Drosophila melanogaster: one gene and its partners. The protein of the gene in region 1 interacts with the protein of each later gene in a pairwise test. Each region holds a gene or a part of one and is shown in the gene's direction. Other genes may lie near its edges. The genes, in order: Sec24AB, CtsB, CG10591 and CG5386.

Region 1 (8,018 bases):
TGTATTCAAATTGTTGCTATCTGTACTTATATATGATTGCTGTGTGTTTAATATTACACCCAATCCCAATCAGTTGACCACATAGTGAATCTGAATGAATCTCTTGAATTTTCTAGAAAACCGAAGTATTCGTCGACGTAAATCGCATACCCATATTTAAGAAACAAGTTCGACCAATCGTTGAGCAGGATGAGTACGAATCGCGACGCGTTTGGAAGGAAGTGACAGCGGGACTCAAGTAAACAGCATACCAATTAATTCCTGACCCCCAATTGCGAGTCATGATAAATGTAATCTCTTTGTTCGTTGCTCTTCCACAGGTTCAATGACATCGAGCGCGCTACAACTGCCAAATTCGTTGTGGAGCAACAGCAGCGTGATCAAGCCAAGGTGCGCAAGGAATACGATCTGGCCTGGGAGCACAAGGTACGTCATCCCGATATAGGGTAAAACAGTTAACAGATAATATTCGTTCACAGCACTTTAAGCCCGTGGGCGACAACTGGATCTACGCCAAGCCGCTGAGTCAGCGCATGTATCTGCAGGAGAAGGAGGCCAAGAGATAATGCCTCCGACTGACAACGAGAGCAACAACACCAAAAACGTCTATATATATGGATCATATCAAGAACGAGCCTCAACTATATGTTTAATTCCACAAGTGCGCAAACCTCTCAACACTGACGATACAACGTAACGAATGCAGGAAAAGTTAGAGCAACAACTGAACTGGCAGAAGGAGATCCATGATGGAGGCTCCAGGGTCTGGTTATTAATTGTAAATAATATACACAGAGAAAAAGAAAGGAGTAAAGCTCTGCTCATTAGGTTGGAACGCGAGTCAAGCTCGACAGCTCAGCGGAGACAGAAAAATCAAACACTCACAGTTTCTATACAGAATTAACGATTATTATTTACTACTAAGTACTAGTGTGTTTCAAAGGCAATCGCAGTAAACTGCAACACAATGACACCTATTCAATACCTTTTACATTACTAACATTTACTAACTAGCAACAAAGAAAGAAATCCAATACATAATGGGATATATCAAAAGTTGTAGATTACAAAATGATAGTTACTTAAGGATAATAGAGATTCTATTTTTGAAATAAAAGACTCTGCTATAGACGAAATACAATACCGACACGCTAGTATCCGACAGATACTGCACCCTCGCTTCTTTCCAAGACCACAGGACAGACACACGGACATAGAACACACGGTGCACAATGATTTTCCAGTCGCATAGCTTATAAATCAAATACGATTACCTTTAGTATTATGTTTCGAATTCCACTTGTCACAATAATAACAATAAAGCTTTACCAAGAGTCCGCTGGTGACACACCTTTACACCTTACTGCAATAGAACCCAATTGAAAACCGAACTCCTAGACACGTTGAATAATAGACATTAAATTTAATTTATAACTTTATAACTTACGAGCCAGGAAGCAACACCACCCACACAGCAAATCTACCGACTACTCTCACGCAAAGTTAACGCAAAATGAAACGAATAAAGTAAATACGCTTCGAAATTGATTTAAAGTAATATTTAACGAACTAGTTACCCCGTAGAATAAAAGAATTGTAATCCCAATGGCATTAATTGGAACTTATATCCAAGCCCGGGGAAACTTGTATATATTTTTGCGATTTTCTTTTTAACCAACGTGTTAATTGAGAAATTGAGCTACTCCCAAGCAGATACAAATATTGCAAATAAAGCGATTTGTTCTTTAAGCAGTTTTAATGGATTTTGGATTTCGGGCTTACGAACATTTAAGCTCATATCATTAACAGAGTTATATATAATATACATTGCTTGTCTTCACTTAATAAACATTGCGTTAAGTTTTAAATTTGAATTGTTACAAAAATAATGTTACCATTGGTATCGATAACATTTTATTTGCAATCGATAGGCGACCCAGAGCACTGTCATCTCTTTTTTAAAACCAACGGTCACACTATTGACGTGGCCTCAAAATTTTTTGTTCTCCGGAAAATGCAAAAAGTTTGCATTTAAGTTAATTGTGCATAGCAGCGTACGACGCCAAGTCCAAAGAATCCGCCTGCCAATATAGGACGTGTTCGCATCCATCCGGAGCACGCGAGGAGCGCTTGAAATCGTGTAAGAAAGAAACTAGTGCGGAAGGAAGTTTTGGGAGTGGAGAGAGCGTAGGGAAGTGCGAAAATCGTTTAATTTTCGTTCGCGGAGAAAAATCCAGCCAAGGATTTCACAAAAGACCAGAACAAAGAGTACAACCAGTGGTTTTTACAGCTGCATCCGCCCTTTCCTCACAACGAAAGGCGGAAAAGCTAATTCATAGTCCGCAGCAAAATCGCCAATCAAGGGCGCAAGAAGAAGAGGCAACTACAAAGTGCAAGTGCTGGCCGAGGAACTTCATGCCAATGAAAACTGAAGCTCGGGAAGGTGATAAGTGATTGGTAACCGTGTTATGGGCACTACATATGCCTTGATTGCCCCAATTTCTTTGAGTGGGTGGTGGGCGTGGCGGGTTGACTTCGCCAATAGGCACGTCATCAAAAATTTGCTTTGTTCCGGAGACAAATCCTTTCTCTTCCTGATTGCTTCCACTGCATCTGGGTCACCAATTTAACCGACCCACCTTCTGCGATCATTGATGGCGAGGTCAAGTGCTTGAGGCACGCACACTTACACGTTGTACATCACATAATAACCCATAACGACCTGCTGTCGAAGCTGTTTAAACAGCAAAATATGATATGAAATTATCACCCTATTTCCGACTTACTGTTGACGTAGACACAGTTCTGTAAACACTGAATCAAGACATTTACCTAGGCAGCCAGTCTAGCTTAAAAGTTTGTGATAAAGCTCCAATAACGCAGAATTTCGCATTCCATTCGATCACTGCAAATTCTAAACTGTCTGTAAGCGGGGAAAAGCATCCCGCTTTAAAACTTTACAACTTTTATCAGCCGCACATTGTTTCATGTTACGCGCTTTTTAACATTGAACGATAAGATAATTCCCTGTTTCATGTCGGCAGCAACGCAACCTTCGCTAGTGATAAGATAGCAACTAAACAAAATGTAATTCTTCATCTTTCAGACCACAAACCTATGAATTAGCAGCATGTCGACTTACAATCCGAACTTCGTGCCTCCCGCCCACGCCCCTATGCCACTGAACGGAAACAATTTTGTGAATGGTGTGCAAGGAAGCGTCCAGCAGCAGCCAGGTCCTCCACCTGGTCAGCAGTATATACCACAGAAGCAGCCACAACAGTTCCAGCAACCACCTCCTGCAGCAGCTTTTCCGGGAGCAGGAGCGCCAGGTAATGTGCCACCGCCGCAGCAGTTCAACAGTGGTATTACGAACCAGTTCTTGCCGCCCACGTCAGGAGCAGCTACACCTCTGCAGCAACTGCCGCCCAGCACGCTGCCGCCCCATCTGCGTCCGCCCGCCGCCAACGGACCACCCCTTACGAACGGCAGCAATGGGGCGTCCAGTGCGAACTCTTCGCGCACTGCATCCCCAAGGCCAGTAGGAGCTGCCCCTCAATATGCTCAAGGACCAATCGCTGCAGCGTTGAACAATCCGCCCCTGGCGTCGGGACTGCGTCCTTCGCCCCAACCGACGCACCAATCTCTGGCCAACTTGACGAGCAATCTGGAAAATCTTAACTTGAATACCACTCGAGCAAATGGAGGTACCAGCATTTTGCCACAACCCCAAACCCAGCAACAGTACGCACCCACAGTAACACAAAAGGATGGCAGGGGAGTGGCCTCGGCCCAGACGGGTCCACCGCAGTTCAACGACGCCAACAGTCTGTTGGCGGCCAGCGGAGTGGCCGCTGCACTAGTTCCCAATGCCATGGCGACGCCGTTTAGTGGACAAAAGCCCCCCAATTTGGCTCCAAATCCGGCCAAAATGTTCGGAAGCGCCTCGATGGCCGGTAGACCAACACCAGCGGGGCAACGAATCCCATACGGAGTACCCCCACCAACTAACCCCGAGCAGCAGAGCCAGCAAAACAACAATCTACAGAATGCACCGCCGCCACCAAGAGTAGGAGCGGTATGGCCGCCGAGCTTACCAAATGTAGCGGCGCCGGGAGCCCAGCCCATGATGCCGCCAGCCCAGCAGACACCACAGACGTATCCATACTCCCAGGTTTATCAACCAGGACCACAGCAACAGCCACCACCTCCTCAGTCTGCAGTGCAGCCACCGCCGCCGGGAATGTTCGGAACGCAACCGACTGGAGCTCCACTGCAGTATCAGGCACAGGCGCCTCCTCAGGCTTACGGACAACATCCTCAGCAAGCACCCCAGACTGCACCCGGGGGACCTTATGGAACCACTGCTCCACTAAACGTGGCTCAGCAGGGATTCAGCAGATTGTGGGGACAGGATACTATCGACCTTATGCAGAATCGGCATATCTTAACGCCGGCAACGTTGCCTCCGCCAAAAGTGGTTTTGCACAACCAGTTTCACGAGTCCATAAACTGTAGCCCGAGCATTATGCGCTGTACGCTGACCAAGATTCCCGAGAGCAACTCTCTGCTCCAGAAGTCACGTCTGCCTCTGGGCATTGTGATACATCCCTTCCGTGATGTCAATGTAAGAATTTTATTGAAAATAATTTGATATAAAAGACTTTAACTTGGAATTCCTCACACAGAGCCTCCCTGTTATTCAGTGCATCAACATTGTGCGTTGCCGGCTGTGCCGCACTTACATAAATCCCTTCGTTTACTTCGTGGACAGCAAGATGTGGAAGTGCAATCTGTGTTATCGAGTCAACGAATGTAATTGAAAAGAGTTCCCAGCATATAATGGATTTAGTAATCCAATGTTTCTTTCTTCGTGCAGTGCCAGATGACTTTCAATTTGATCCGGCCACAAAGACATACGGCGACGTAACCCGAAGGCCCGAGGTACGCTCTAGCACCATAGAGTTTATTGCTCCTTCGGAGTACATGTTGCGGCCGCCACAGCCGGCCATGTACCTGTTTCTCTTCGATGTCTCGATAATCGCGCAGCAGAGTGGTTATCTGGAGGCCGCATGCGCCGTACTCAACCGGCACTTAGACGAGATGCCCGGTGATGCGAGGACCCAGGTGGGATTCATTTGCTTCGACAGCTTCGTGCACTTCTACAGCATGGCCGAGGGGCTCAACCAGCCGCACGAAATGACGCTGCTGGACATCGAGGACCCCTTCCTGCCACGTCCTGATAGTTTGCTGGTAAACCTAAAGGAGTGCAAGGAACTGGTGCGTGATCTATTAAAGCAACTGCCTAAGCGGTTTGCCCACACCCACGATCCGGGTTCCGCCTTGGGTGCTGCTCTGCAGGTTGCTTTCAAGCTAATGGTGAGTTGAGCTATTCAAAATTAAAGAGGAACCTTAATCATCGTGAATACTGTATACAGCAAGCGTCCGGCGGACGGATAACCGTCTTTCAATCGTGCCTTCCCAACAAGGGACCCGGAGCCTTGGAGCCGCGCGAAGATCCCAACAACCGCTCGGCAAAGGACGTGGCCCACCTTAACCCGGCAACCGACTTCTACAAGCGCTTTGCCCTAGAGTGCTCCGGCTATCAAATAGCTTGTGACCTCTTCCTGATGAACCAGCAGTACAGCGACATGGCAACCATTTGTAAGTGACTCTTAGTAATGTAAATTCAAACTGCCTTTTTGCATTAAGTTCTCTTACGAGTAATAGAGCACCGTTAACTTATTGGAGTTTCAATTTCCCTATAGCTGGCATTAGCAAACATAGCGGCGGCTGTGTACACCACTTCCCGCTCTACCAGAAGACAAAGCCACACATGGTAGAATCGTTCCGCTCGTGTTTCAAGCGCTATCTTACCAGGAAAATTGGATTTGAGGCGGTAATGCGAATCCGCTGCACTCGTGGCTTGCAGGTGCATACATTCCATGGAAACTTCTTCGTGCGCTCCACGGACCTGCTCTCGTTGCCAAACGTGAATCCGGATGCTGGATATGGCATGCAGATCTCCTACGAGGAGAGCCTCACGGACGCGAAAACGATTTGCTTCCAAGCTGCGCTGCTCTATACGAACAGCGAAGGAGAGCGCCGAATCCGTGTGCACACCGTGTGTTTGCCGGTTACCGCTTCGCTCCCAGAGGTAATGCATTCAGCCGACACGGAAGCTATTATCGGGCTGCTGTCGAAAATGGCGGTTGACCGGTCGGTCGCCTCCAACTTGTCGGACGCCCGCGATGCATTCATAAACGCTACGATCGACGTGTACAATGCCTTCAAGATAGCACAAAATCTGCCATCGGGACAGTCGGGTCAGCTGATAGCGCCGCGCAGCCTGGCGTTGCTCCCGCTCTACATCTTGGCCCTGCTTAAGCACGTGAGTTTTTTGCATATGATCTTAGTTATCACAGCTTATTTCGGTTTTCCACTAGCCCGCTTTCCGTGTGGGAACTAGCACACGACTGGATGATCGGGTCTACGCCATGGATTGCATGAAAACGCTACCGCTGGACCAGCTAATGAAGTACGTGTACCCGGAGCTGTACAAGATCGATGCGTTGATCTACCACGCCCGCAACTCGAACATTAGTTCGAACCAGGATGACGACGAGGACGAGGATGAACCGTTGCCGGAGCTGCCGCGTCTTCAATTGTCCGCGGAACAGTGAGTAGAGTTGATTTATTTTTGACCTTCGATAACGAACGCTTTAACTTCAGCTTGGACTCTCGGTCAATATTTCTGATGGACTGCGGAACGCTGATAATGATCTATGTCGGCCTTAATGTGCCGCCCGATGTTTTGGAAGCTGTTCTGGGTATGATCTTAAAACCCAACCAATTTGTGTTACTAATCTGTTTCTAATTTCAGGCATCAGCTCCACCGCAGAACTGGGTGATTATGTATATGGATTGCCAAATGTTGTGAGCAACGAGAACGATGTGCTGAAGCGTTTTATTTTGCGACTCAACTACGATAAGCCCTACTCGGCGCTGGTGCAGATAATTAGGTAAGTCGGACCACTATTAAAATATTCATAATACCTTGCTAATTATTTTATCTTAAATTAAAGGGACACGAGCACGGCCAAGGGCCAGTTCACCGAGAGATTAACCGACGATCGCAGTGAATCTAGTTTGTCATACTATGAATTTTTGCAACACATTCGGGCTCAGGTTAAATAGTATATAAGCAGGATATCCTACCACTATTGTATGCAGCATAAATACGAGTTTCTAAGAACCTAAAAACTCAGACTCTGGTGACTAGAAGCACGAAGCGAATGCAGGTGACACTGGTGCGAAACAATGGAGACCAGTTCGGGACAGACATACACTTGATACACCTTAACCACCCATCCCCTACCCACTCTCTCGGCTTAGGTAATTTTAAAGTGCATGTATTTATTTATTTGTTGATTTGTTGCACTAAAAATAAAATAAAATAATTGAAGATCATAGTAAATGCGAAAGAGCCAACTTGTCACAACAGAAACTAAGATATCGTTGCCAGTTCGTTTAGGGCGAACATTAGTCAAAAGTTCAGCTAACCAGTCAGTAGAGCTCCCGAAGAAGTGGATGGCTCCGTTATTTATTATAGAAACTATGCAATAAACCAACGAAACTGTTGTACATTATGCTTTAGCTCGATTTTTGTTCGTTCCAACTGCTTCAAACATTCTGCAAACTTCTCAGCCCCACAAATTGTTATCGCTTACCCCAATTGTTTGCTGTTTTCAGTAGTATTTATTTTCCGGAATCCAGAGAAATCTATATTTATTTATAAGTGTAAGGAAAGGCGTTTTGTTGCACTGTAGTTAGCGAACTTATTTCAAACGTATGTACGGATTTGGTATTGTGTATTGCATTCATTGGACTGCTAGGCAGTGAATGTCTTAAGCTTAGAAGGAATATTATACTGTATCAATAAAGAGACCCCATCCCTGTACCTCAGGTGGCGCAGTTGTCGTTCTTTGAGTGGGCTAACTAATCGAAAAACCATATAC
Region 2 (4,722 bases), on another chromosome or scaffold:
ATGGAATTTGCACACACGACTTTGTGTTTACGTTCTTGTGCCGCGATTTAAGTACTGTTATAACTTTTGCCTGTCATCACTAGTTTGCTTTTTTTGTCTTGTTTATTTTTGTGTATTTTGCATAAATTCCCGGCTAACAATTATATATTTTCGTTTGTTTTATTTATGCACCGCGCAGTGCTTATTGTTGTTGCCGTTTCTTGCGGGAGAGATGCGACGCGCACGCAGCGTCGTCAATGGAGAAAAATAAAAGAGAAAGCGCCCGCTCAGCTCAGCCAGTCTCCGTTGACCGCGCGGTTGGCGAGCTTTCTTGCAACTGACTTTCGAGTTTGAACGCGAAACTTTCGATTTCCATTTCCCGATGGCGAAGGACGATAGCCATCATACGATAACGATAGCCCAATGGAAAGCAGCTGTCGGAAATGCAATGGATCCACTGAACAAATTTTGGAACAGCTGTGGCGCTACATTCGAATTGAACAAAATATACTTTAAAATTAAAAATAAAAACGATTGTGCAAAGTCAAAACGTCCCTTTTGATGCTATGCGGGCATTTTTGCACGGATCAAAGCTGTAGTTTTGGTGTAAGCTAAAAAAACAATTGGTTTAAGAGGCAGTCATTTGATTGTCTTAGGCATATAAAAACTATTTAACTGTACTTCTAAATATTTATTTATCCTTACTTTACATCTAATAGATATGTATGAAATTATTAATTTCAATGATTTTATAACAAAGGTATTTATAATGAAATAAGGGGCAAGTTAATTTAATTTCCTAACACTACGAATTAATCAGTGAACAAGATTAATCTTATTTAACTACTTAAAGCTATGACACAGAGGCATATCACACACGTCTAGACATAGGGATTCCAATTGCTGCCGTCCTCGGGCAGCAAATTGTTGGTGATCAGGAGGATGACGTCGATGATCCACCAAACGCCCACGCCGCCCATGGTAAGCAGTTTGCCCACAGCCGTGCCCGTTTGACCGAGACAGAAGCGATCCATACCGAGGAAACCCAGCAGCATGCTGTAGATCAGTGTGGTCACAAAGTAGTGATCCGTGTAGCGGACACAGGGCACTCCGGCGCGCAGAAAGGTGCGATTACCGTAGCACTCGATGTCGGCAAACACGGTGCACCAGACCATGGCGTGCTCCACCTCTTCGTACGTGGAACCACCGAACTTCAGGCATCCGTATTTCTTTTCCTGCTGCGCCGTGGCGTTCTCCCGATGATCGACGGGATCCTTGCAATCGAGAAAGTCGCGCGGCAGAAACGAGCACATCACATTCGGTCCCAGTGGATAGAAGGCCGAGTTTCCAGCTCCGCCCGAGGCGGAAGATGCCGAAGATGACGATGAGGAGGGTCCCATGCCGGAGCCCAGTTGCGCCTGAACGGGCACCACCGATTGCACCGCCGTGCCGGAGACCACAGTCTGCGGCTGCTCCTTGTCGCTGCGTGCCTGTATCGCTTGGGCATCGTGTTGTCTGGCCACCAGGAACGCCAGTAGTCCGTAGAAAATCCGCATCTTTGCGAGCTCCTTATCAAAATATAGCTAGCCAGTGTGGCCACACCTTAGCACAGCTAACAGAGCTCTGTTATCTGCGATGGCCTACCGATAGTTCTGATTTTAAGCACCACGACAACGAATGGAAATAAATAAATGCAAATAAACCACCTTTCAAGTAACAGTGCTCCTTAGCATATTTATTGGCATTAGTGTGATCGTAGTCTTTAGTTAAGTACATTTAGTGAAGTGCTATTTAGTATAATGCGTTTATTTATTTCAGACTAGTTACCAATCACGCGCCCATCTCTACATTCGATAGGCAACGGCCCTGTTGCATTGGTGTGCACACACTGGCCGCGTAATCAGCGGGCGCGAACCATTTTTTTTTTTTTTTGTGCGACAGAACAAAAACAAGAGAATAATAGACGCTTAAAGAGCATTACCCGTCCGAATTTCACGGGCAGTACGAAAACAAGAACGGAGCAGAGAGCCCGCTTAATACGACGCGTCATTTTCCACCATTTTACTGCTGTGATTTGTTTGAATTTTGCTGTGTCAGCGCATTGGAAATTCGTTGGACAAGAATAATGAATCTATTGCTCCTGGTGGCCACCGCGGCCTCCGTGGCGGCACTCACGTCCGGTGAGCCGTCACTGCTCTCGGATGAGTTCATCGAGGTGGTGCGCAGTAAGGCCAAAACCTGGACGGTAAATTCCTTTGTTTCCAACCCTTTTCTTGCTGACGTGACAAGAAAATTGCATTTTCCCGTTTCCTATCCGCCAGGTGGGTCGCAATTTCGATGCATCCGTAACGGAGGGACATATTCGCCGCCTGATGGGCGTCCATCCGGATGCGCACAAGTTCGCACTGCCCGACAAGCGTGAAGTTCTTGGCGATCTATACGTGAATAGCGTTGACGAACTTCCCGAAGAGTTCGATTCCCGCAAGCAATGGCCAAACTGCCCAACCATTGGCGAGATTCGCGACCAGGGTTCATGCGGCTCCTGCTGGGCCTTTGGTGCCGTGGAAGCCATGTCCGATCGCGTACGTAGCTTACCTTATCGATATTATAACCCCTTCCATTCTTTGTTTGTCCAGCTGATAAATTTCCCCATTTTTTTTTATTATTATTTTCTTTTTGTATTTGTTATCAATGATTTTTTTTTTTTTACTGATTTCGCAATGGGCAGGTGTGCATCCATTCCGGCGGCAAGGTGAATTTCCACTTTTCGGCCGATGATCTCGTCTCCTGCTGCCACACCTGCGGATTTGGCTGCAATGGCGGTTTCCCCGGCGCCGCCTGGAGCTACTGGACGCGCAAGGGAATCGTCAGCGGAGGACCCTACGGATCTAATCAGGTTGGTGATCTTCTCCTGCTTTAATGGGATTTTGCAAATCATATTTAGTTTGGTTTAAAAGGGCTTGCAATTTGGTTTTGCTTGCAGATGAGTTTCCAATAAAAAAAAGGGTTTGTTTTCTAACGAAGAAAAACATACTTTATGTGCAAAAATAACCTGTATTTGTACATATTGTATTTCTACGCCGAAATAGTTAGAAAGCAACTTGATTTTGTTCTTTGTTTACTTGAAGTGAACTGAAGACTCAGTTTACGACGCCATAAAAAATTGTATACCACAGATATCGCTAGAAAGCGGCTTAGTATATCATATACAAACATCCATATACACAAAGCTATATGTATATATATCATATACGAACATCTATAGATATACATGCATATATTGTGAATGCACTCCAGATTCGCGTACATCCTCAACGATAAGTTTTAGCTGCTACTAACTCATTTCCCAGATATAGTAAGGCAAACAGAAGAAAAAACGATTCTAATATGCACTTATTTTGCAGGGCTGCCGTCCTTACGAGATTTCTCCCTGTGAGCACCATGTGAATGGAACCCGACCACCATGTGCCCATGGCGGTAGAACGCCCAAGTGTTCGCACGTCTGCCAGAGCGGTTACACCGTCGATTATGCCAAGGACAAGCACTTCGGCTCCAAGTCGTACTCGGTGAGGCGTAATGTGCGTGAAATTCAGGAGGAGATCATGACCAATGGACCGGTTGAGGGCGCCTTCACCGTTTATGAGGATCTCATTCTGTACAAGGACGGTGTCTATCAGCACGAGCATGGCAAGGAGCTGGGCGGTCATGCCATTCGCATTTTGGGCTGGGGCGTTTGGGGCGAGGAGAAGATTCCGTACTGGCTAATTGGTAACTCGTGGAACACCGATTGGGGCGATCATGGTTTCTTCCGCATCCTGCGTGGCCAGGATCATTGCGGCATCGAGAGCTCCATTTCGGCGGGTCTGCCCAAGCTGTAAATGTTATATGTATTCCGGCATCAAGCTGATATATCAAAACCCCTCTATTTTCTATCATCCCTCCTTTTATTTTCATTCCGATTCGCAACTGACGTTTGTAGTTAATGTAAACAACCTAAACCTGATTGATAATAAAGTATTGTATATGACTGTGGAACTGTACTTTGCTCGTATACAGTGGGACCTCTCTAACTAGAAACAAGGCAAACAAAAAAAAGAAAATGATTATCAAACTGGAACTCAGATATAATTAAAAGCGAATAATACTATTTGTGAAACAATGCTATAACTATCCAACTATAAACTATTGTTTAGCGTAGCTATGCCTTTTTTATTTAATAGTAGAGATTAATAGTAGAGAGTATCTGATCCTCTATACTATGTACACACATTTAAATGGAACGCCGTCAATCGTTCAATCGTTAAACTGGCTAGCTGTATGTTTTGCGAGTTATAAATGTGATTAGCATCGCATTTGATTAATCAAACAAAGAGTACAGCTTGCAATCGCATTCGTCATTTGGTGCGATTTTGTTGAGTTAATTTATTATTACATTAGTTAGCTTGGCCATACATACATACATACATACATATATGTACATACATATGTAAAACTTATCTCGTTGAAGCTGCCCACAATTTGCAGCACCAAATGTCCATTCAAATTGTACACATATTTATTCACATAACATGTTTTATTTATTTTTCTCATTTGCAACATCAAATAGAACATTTGTTTTGTATTTTCAGTTTTTTTTTTGTTATCTTGTCATGAACCAACCGCTTCTCTTATCGATTTTCTGTGAATTGATTGACTGGTTTTGTAGCCACTCTTCTATTCACCGAAACTCGATATTTTTCTAAC
Region 3 (3,332 bases), on another chromosome or scaffold:
CTAAGAAGCTTGCTTACACAAAATATTTGATATATTTCCGAAGATAACTTTTATGTCATATATGTGCGTATGTTACGTTGCATACGGTGTACATCGAGTATTTTATTTGAATTGTTTGCCTAGAAAACTTATCAATCTATGCAACTGCAACAAAATGTGACTTGAACTTGTTTGCGCCAATTAAGTTATGTACGATGCAAGAAATGTGCTGATTAGCAATAGTCGATAATCTAATAATAAATTCAATATATAAAACCAAAAAAAAAGTTTATGACAGTATAAGCCCCCTTCATCTTGGCCATTATCAGCGAACACACAGATCGTTTCACTTTTACTATTTTTGATTCACTCGGTAACATTGACCCTCAAATTGTTTTCCAATTACTGGGAGGCAAACAACTTCAACGGTCTTATCATCCCATTTATTAGGGGGCCAATTCTGGCACTTCCATTCGTTTTCTTTTCGTTTGGGAGCACAGGATGGATGGAGTACTTTGGGGTTATTCCATGACAACACCATTGATAAAGCCTTTCGGATTCTTGTCGTTAACTGATGATGTTCGATTTGTCTCAAGTAACTGAACTATGTTTATATTACGTATACGACCAATCACTGCAGTGTTTACACACAGTGTGTCTTATACCCTAAAATGTTTGGTGAGCTTTCCAGAATCAACTATATGAATAAATGACTTAAGTTGTTTCAAATACAAGCAACTTTCAAAAATATTATCAGTATAAGTACTGAATAATTTTCCTTCAGCACTAAGTACGTTTTAATTCAAAGTTTCGGAAGTTTGGTAAGATAACCTATGGACATACCTTTGAGATTAGCAGTTTCTAGTAAACAACTATTTTGAAGTGTATCGAATGGTTTCAACTGCTGCCACAAGCCACCCTTCATCCGGATTTACTTCTCTGCTTATCGGGACTTTCAAGAGGCCCAGTGTCATCATAGTTCCAGGGAACGGCGCTAGTTTGGAAGTGAACACCTACGGAGTGGGCACTCGTCCACTAATGACGCGTGTTTTCGGTGGGCTTTGTCTCGTCAATGGAATTCTGTGATAAGTCGGAAATGTTACAGAGCCTTTTCATTTCTAGCCGTGGTAGTGTGGTAACTGATTGGAAACATATTGATTTCGTAATTTATGCTAATTCTGGGCAGTGGAAACTGTAAAGGCGCTTGGGATAATCCCTGAAGAGTTTCCGTTTTGATGAAAAGGCAATTCAAAAATCTGGGTGTCACTTTGATGGGTATCGCCCACATTTGGTCACATAAACTCTACAATCTGATCACTGTTTATGACCTGATAGACAGTTGATGTATTTTTGAAGTTGTCCCGCTGATTGCGGCTGGCTGGCCAAGAATCAAACCGAGAACCCTGCTGACCCAGTTTAAAGGCTTGTCGTCGGGCCTAATGATGTTCGTGTATATTTTGTTGCATAAATTATCATAATTGTCACTGCGCCGACTGGGTGATGGCATTTTTCCTTTTGATCGCTTAGCATTTCCCTTTCGATGGTGGGTTAAGAACAGTTATAGAGATGCGGGAAATGTGTTTTCTGTTCGATCTAGAGATTATTTTGTATATTTTCTATGCATATTAAAACGTAGCTCTCGAGTTTTTCAGCTTATAAAAGCCGAATTCGAATTTTGGATCTCAGTCCGATCTGAAGAGAAATCCGAAGTACATCATGAGTTTTTTGGGACTCTTGGCTTTTCTGGTTGCTGGTAAGTTTATAAAACATTTATAAATTTTTCTACAATATTACAATACCATATATTCCATCAGGTCTTTGCTCCACCGCCCAGGCTTCGTTGGTGAAATGCTCTTGTGATCCTGGTCCACAGGGGGAACGAGGACCTCCAGGTCCGCCTGGACCTCCTGGCAATCAGAACGGTCTCTCTGGCAGTGGTTCTGGCTACTGGGGCTATCCACCCACAGGTCCTTACCCCCCAAATCTGCCTTTCATCCAGGGGCCTAGAGGCTTACCAGGACCGCCTGGTCCTCCTGGATATTGTTTCCCATGCCCAGCTCCTCCACCTTTGAGATCCTTTCCGCCACCGGGAGTTCCAGTCCCTCCTTTCATTTCCACCCCAGGTGGTGGCGGATTTGGTGGAGCCTCTGCATTGACCACCGCTGTGGGCAACATTATAGTGATTCCAGGAGGACCAGGAACGGGATTAGCTGGTCGCGCTCAGTTCTTCCACATTTCACCCGATGGCCAGGTGGTGCAGATCGATCGACCGCAGAATCTGCCCAGTGAACTGTTCGATACACCGGTGAACCAAGGTTCCGGTGCTCCCATTCCTCCACCGCAACCCACATCGTCATCTCTCTCGGGGATCACACCACCAGCAGTCCAAGTGCCACCAACTCAACCCACGCCCGGCGATCTGGGAGCCCAGCAGCCCACAATTTTGCCCGAGAATATGGAGGAAACTGTGTTTGCGGTTGGCAATCGCAAGGACTTCCTGCGAGGTAGCTCCGATGCCAGCGATTGGAGAAGGATTCTCCTCCTGGGAGAGCGACCCACCGATGGTCTACTCAAGGGCCAGTCCGTCCAGCAGCTCAGTCCCAACCAGCTCGAGAGCAGCGTGGAGAACTTCCAGAGGGCTTTGGTCGAACTGAAGGAGAAGTATGCCACGCTCATCCAACCGCGTAACTCAAACCAATATGCAGTCATCATTTGAAGGGAAAACTTAAGATTAAATTTAGTTTAATAATTTAATAAAAACTGTACTGATAATGTCTAAAAAGAATATAAATGACCATTTGATATGGAAGTAGAGGTATTAAGATGTCTCTTTTATGTCTTTCATCTATAGATCTTTTAGTTGTCTGACTTGTTATGTAGAGCTGGCACTTGTGTTATTCGTTCAAGCTTCGTCAACAAAGTACGATATCATTTCTTGGTATTTATAAGATAAATACGGATAAAAATAGAAATACCTATTCGAGGGTAATCCCCCAAAGAATTATGAATTACAATTGTCAACAGTCAATCTGCGTTAAATACGTGAGATTCACAAGAAAAATTCAATCGTCATAACATTGCGATGCCTATTAAATTTTTTTATAAGCATAATAGGCGTGAGTACTTAACGCTTTTTAAGTCTATCAAAACATTTTGAAAATCAATAACGATAATAGGAATTAAAGGTATCAATCCAATCGATTTGATTGGAATCAAGTTTAATTTGCTACAAATGATTTTAATTTAGTTGCAGTCATAACACAGTTAATCAATTTTTGATAGACTTAAATTAAATTTAACTTGTCATTGGTATTGTAAAAATAAAATTCCTTCGAAGCGGTGGGTAAACAATT
Region 4 (3,182 bases), on another chromosome or scaffold:
TTTCGGCCACTGTGCACGGTGCTTTTAATTCCTATGGCGGCGCTCGCCTGTAATTTATGTGCTTAACTTTCACACTCGGCTGGCTAAAACAGTCACCGAAAAATCGTCATAAAAATAGAAAATATATATATATATGAACACTCTCGTACTCGGCCATTTCACACTTTTGCGCCTTTCGGCCGAAAAGCGGTGGAAAATGAAAGCGAAGCCACAAGGACAACGGCTAAATGCGGAGGAGGACGAATACATTCCAGTGAATATTTATGAGCAACCAAAGTAGCATTTGTGCTTTACATTCCGACTTTATTGTGGCCATCGTTGCTGAAGTCCAGCCAGTTGTTGTTGCCTCTGTGTGCAACAGTCCCGTCCATCGTTGAAATTCAGGCCGCCCTTTGTGGCTGCCATTGCTTCACTGGAATAAATATTCAAATTGTATGTAATAGTTTATACTACTACTCTATTCTATGAACTCGCATTTGATCATCTACTTAGGTTTTAATATATCAAATATTTCGATAGAAACTATCTTGTTTATTATGATGTTCAACTGATATTTTAATTAAGTTGCTTTTTACTGTGTAATGTTGGCGCTGCTCTTGTTGCTGTTGCCGTCCTCTCATCTCTGTCAGCTTTTCCGACTCTGATGAGTTTATGCTTGGAGCACATATTACTTTATTCCAGAGTGTGCCTAGGCCCCTGGCCACGCCCCCCGCCCATGTGGTTTTGGCCCACCAACACAGGCACATGCACACAGTCGGCCATTCATGACTGTCATGAGTTTTCCGCAATTGATGGTCTAATTATGCCGCCAACACTAAATTTCATGACTTTGCTGGTCGACGAAGGCCGCCGATGATGAGGGGGTAGAGGGGAGGGGGTATTTTCCGAGAAGGGGAATTGTAATTTAATGGAAAAACATTTTGCCACACATCCACGGAGAGCGGAAAATGGGAGCTGAAGCCAAGGGCCACTTTACAGTTTGACAGTCACTGCCAGACGGTTGACATTTTAGCTTGGATTTATGGCCACCTCTTTGAAATGGCTCGTATGTTAATGCAACAGTTTGAGAAGCGTAGTTTTATGGATTTGAGTTTAAGAGCCCTTTTTGTTGAAAGCACATAATCATATAACTTATGGAGGCATTTACAGCAGCTGAAAGGCAGCTTATTATAAAAAACATATTTCTTATTAAAGCTAAAATATTAAACTTTACCAATAAGAAGTAAACTATTTAGATGAATAAATGTATTCTAATCAATTTAAGAGAGGTATAACGTTACTATTTAGTTTCTATTAGCTTATTTTTACTATTTGATTAAGCCAATTAGCTAGTCATATTTTTTGTAGCCGGCTAATTGAGATCCACTCAATCGAGAACCGCTGTCGGGCCTCCAGTTGGATCTGTAAAGCCGAACTGGTAATTATCATACCGAAACCAATGGGGCACATCAAAATGTTCACACTTCATAATATTTGCATATTAATGTGCATGTATAATTAGCTTCGAAATAATTAATGCCCGAAAACAAGAAACCTAATCGAATGCCTAGGCAAAAGCAAGCATCTCCCAATTAGAATCCATGGCATCGGAGAATATTTGATGTGTGAAGTTAGTTAGCCGGAGTTAGTTCTCACCGAGAGTTTCGAGTGGAAGGTCTCTGGCACTAATAAGTCTTTAAATATGTATCCAAATTGGCTCGTTCTGCTCCACTTGCCGCTGGTTTGTTTGGGAGTTGTTTCGCAAACATTTGCACAGCCGCTGACAAAGTAGGTCGTGTGAATGTGCTGGAATGAATCTCGCCCAGTGTGTGGGTGGTGGTTAGCGGGTCAATCTATTGAGCAAACTATTTGCTTACAGGCACCACAACACCGGCATCCTGAGCATCAATCGGGCGGAGGGACAGAAGATTGAGGAAGCCGCGCTCCAGCAGCATCTGCAACAAATCACGGGCAGCGAAGCGTTGGCGCCATTGTTGCACGAGTTACTGGGCCAAACTGTGCCAAATTGGCAGCAGCCACAGCAGCAGCAGAAACATCAGCAGCCACGGCAGCAGCAGCAGCAACACTACCAACAACAGCAACCAAAATGGCAGCAACAACAGGCCACAAATCAACCGCAACAGGAACAGGGGCAACACTTTTTTGTTTATGAAAACGCCGCGGGTCAACCACCTCAAATATTGGCCGGGTTCAATGGCGTCAATGTGCAACCTGAACAACCAGGCCAGCAACTGCGTCTCCAGCCAAAGCCAATTCAGACGGCACAACAATATGGAGGAGTCGGGCCAAAAGTCGTTAAGGCGCCGCCAGCCGCAGCTGCAGCCGTTTGGGCGCCACGAGTCGAGAGCCACCCGCCGTAAGTAAACACTGAAAACTACCAACTTATATAATCCATTATTTGCATTAAACAATGCATTTTAATTAGCCCATACCCATCTGCGGCAACTGCAGCGCCAGCAAGTTGCCAACTCGGCAGGAATCCGTCGGAAGTTGCCGCTCCTGCCAGCCCCAAAGCCACGCCCCCCGCGCTATGTCCGCCTCCTTCGGGTGGCCAGGAGACGATCCCCTTGCTCAGTGCTGCGGCGCTCAAGGCGACAGCTGGTTAAGTTTTTAATTAAATCGCTGGCATAATTAATAAAGATGCGCATAGAGAGTCGGGCAAAGTGTTGCATACTTTTGGGGCGGCCGATCGCATGGGTGTATTGGTTGCCGTGCACATGTGTGTGTGTGTACTCAATATTCATTCATGTGAGAGCAGCAGCTGTGTCAGTTACTGCAAAAAAAGTGAACTGGCTTTTTTGAAAATATCTTTATTAAATTCGAGGATTTTGAATAACCTTGAATAAACAGATGTAACAGATTCTAGATTTTTCTAGAATTTTTTTTTCTAATCCGTAACCAGATTTGGCTTCCAATCTCCCAAAGCCCAGAAAGAACTCGAACAATACGTATGAGACTTATTTGTCAGCGTGCCTGCTCCGGCCTAGCAGGACCTCCGCCCACCAGGACTCGTTTCGAGCTGTCACCGAACTCAGCATAAAAGTAAAACATTCAACTAAAAACAATTTCTAAAAATATATGTGTACGAATATAAAACATGCAACACGAAAAAACCGCACAAAACACTTCACGTTGAGTGCGACTCGCAAATTGTGGGGCGTCTGTGTGAGTGAGCTGCACCA

What was found.
Region 2: the proteins of Sec24AB (region 1) and CtsB interact in a two-hybrid assay, tested with the Drosophila melanogaster proteins (one large-scale study listed by BioGRID).
Region 3: the proteins of Sec24AB (region 1) and CG10591 interact in a two-hybrid assay, tested with the Drosophila melanogaster proteins (one large-scale study listed by BioGRID).
Region 4: the proteins of Sec24AB (region 1) and CG5386 interact in a two-hybrid assay, tested with the Drosophila melanogaster proteins (one large-scale study listed by BioGRID).

Annotation. Positions count from the first base shown.
Region 1 is NT_033778.4:9,876,305-9,884,322, reverse strand, and holds the start of Sec24AB (secretory 24AB), read left to right. Parts: upstream 1-1,965; 5' UTR 1,966-2,140; exon of another isoform or gene 2,141-2,927; intron 2,928-3,106; 5' UTR 3,107-3,130; coding exon 3,131-4,627; intron 4,628-4,688; coding exon 4,689-4,815; intron 4,816-4,879; coding exon 4,880-5,379; intron 5,380-5,438; coding exon 5,439-5,664; intron 5,665-5,768; coding exon 5,769-6,391; intron 6,392-6,446; coding exon 6,447-6,679; intron 6,680-6,732; coding exon 6,733-6,830; intron 6,831-6,883; coding exon 6,884-7,022; intron 7,023-7,085; coding exon 7,086-7,197; 3' UTR 7,198-8,018. Other genes in the region: CG1513 (uncharacterized protein), read left to right, coding at 117-238, 321-426, 480-566.
Region 2 is NC_004354.4:13,779,312-13,784,033, reverse strand, and holds CtsB (cathepsin B), read left to right. Parts: upstream 1-1,863; 5' UTR 1,864-2,104; coding exon 2,105-2,224; intron 2,225-2,300; coding exon 2,301-2,561; intron 2,562-2,707; coding exon 2,708-2,875; intron 2,876-3,383; coding exon 3,384-3,857; 3' UTR 3,858-4,187; downstream 4,188-4,722. Other genes in the region: amrt (amaretto), read right to left, coding at 861-1,535.
Region 3 is NT_037436.4:5,598,021-5,601,352, reverse strand, and holds CG10591 (uncharacterized protein), read left to right. Parts: upstream 1-1,660; 5' UTR 1,661-1,695; coding exon 1,696-1,732; intron 1,733-1,793; coding exon 1,794-2,695; 3' UTR 2,696-2,796; downstream 2,797-3,332.
Region 4 is NT_033777.3:22,340,714-22,343,895, reverse strand, and holds CG5386 (uncharacterized protein), read left to right. Parts: upstream 1-1,644; 5' UTR 1,645-1,681; coding exon 1,682-1,767; intron 1,768-1,858; coding exon 1,859-2,356; intron 2,357-2,425; coding exon 2,426-2,606; 3' UTR 2,607-2,660; downstream 2,661-3,182.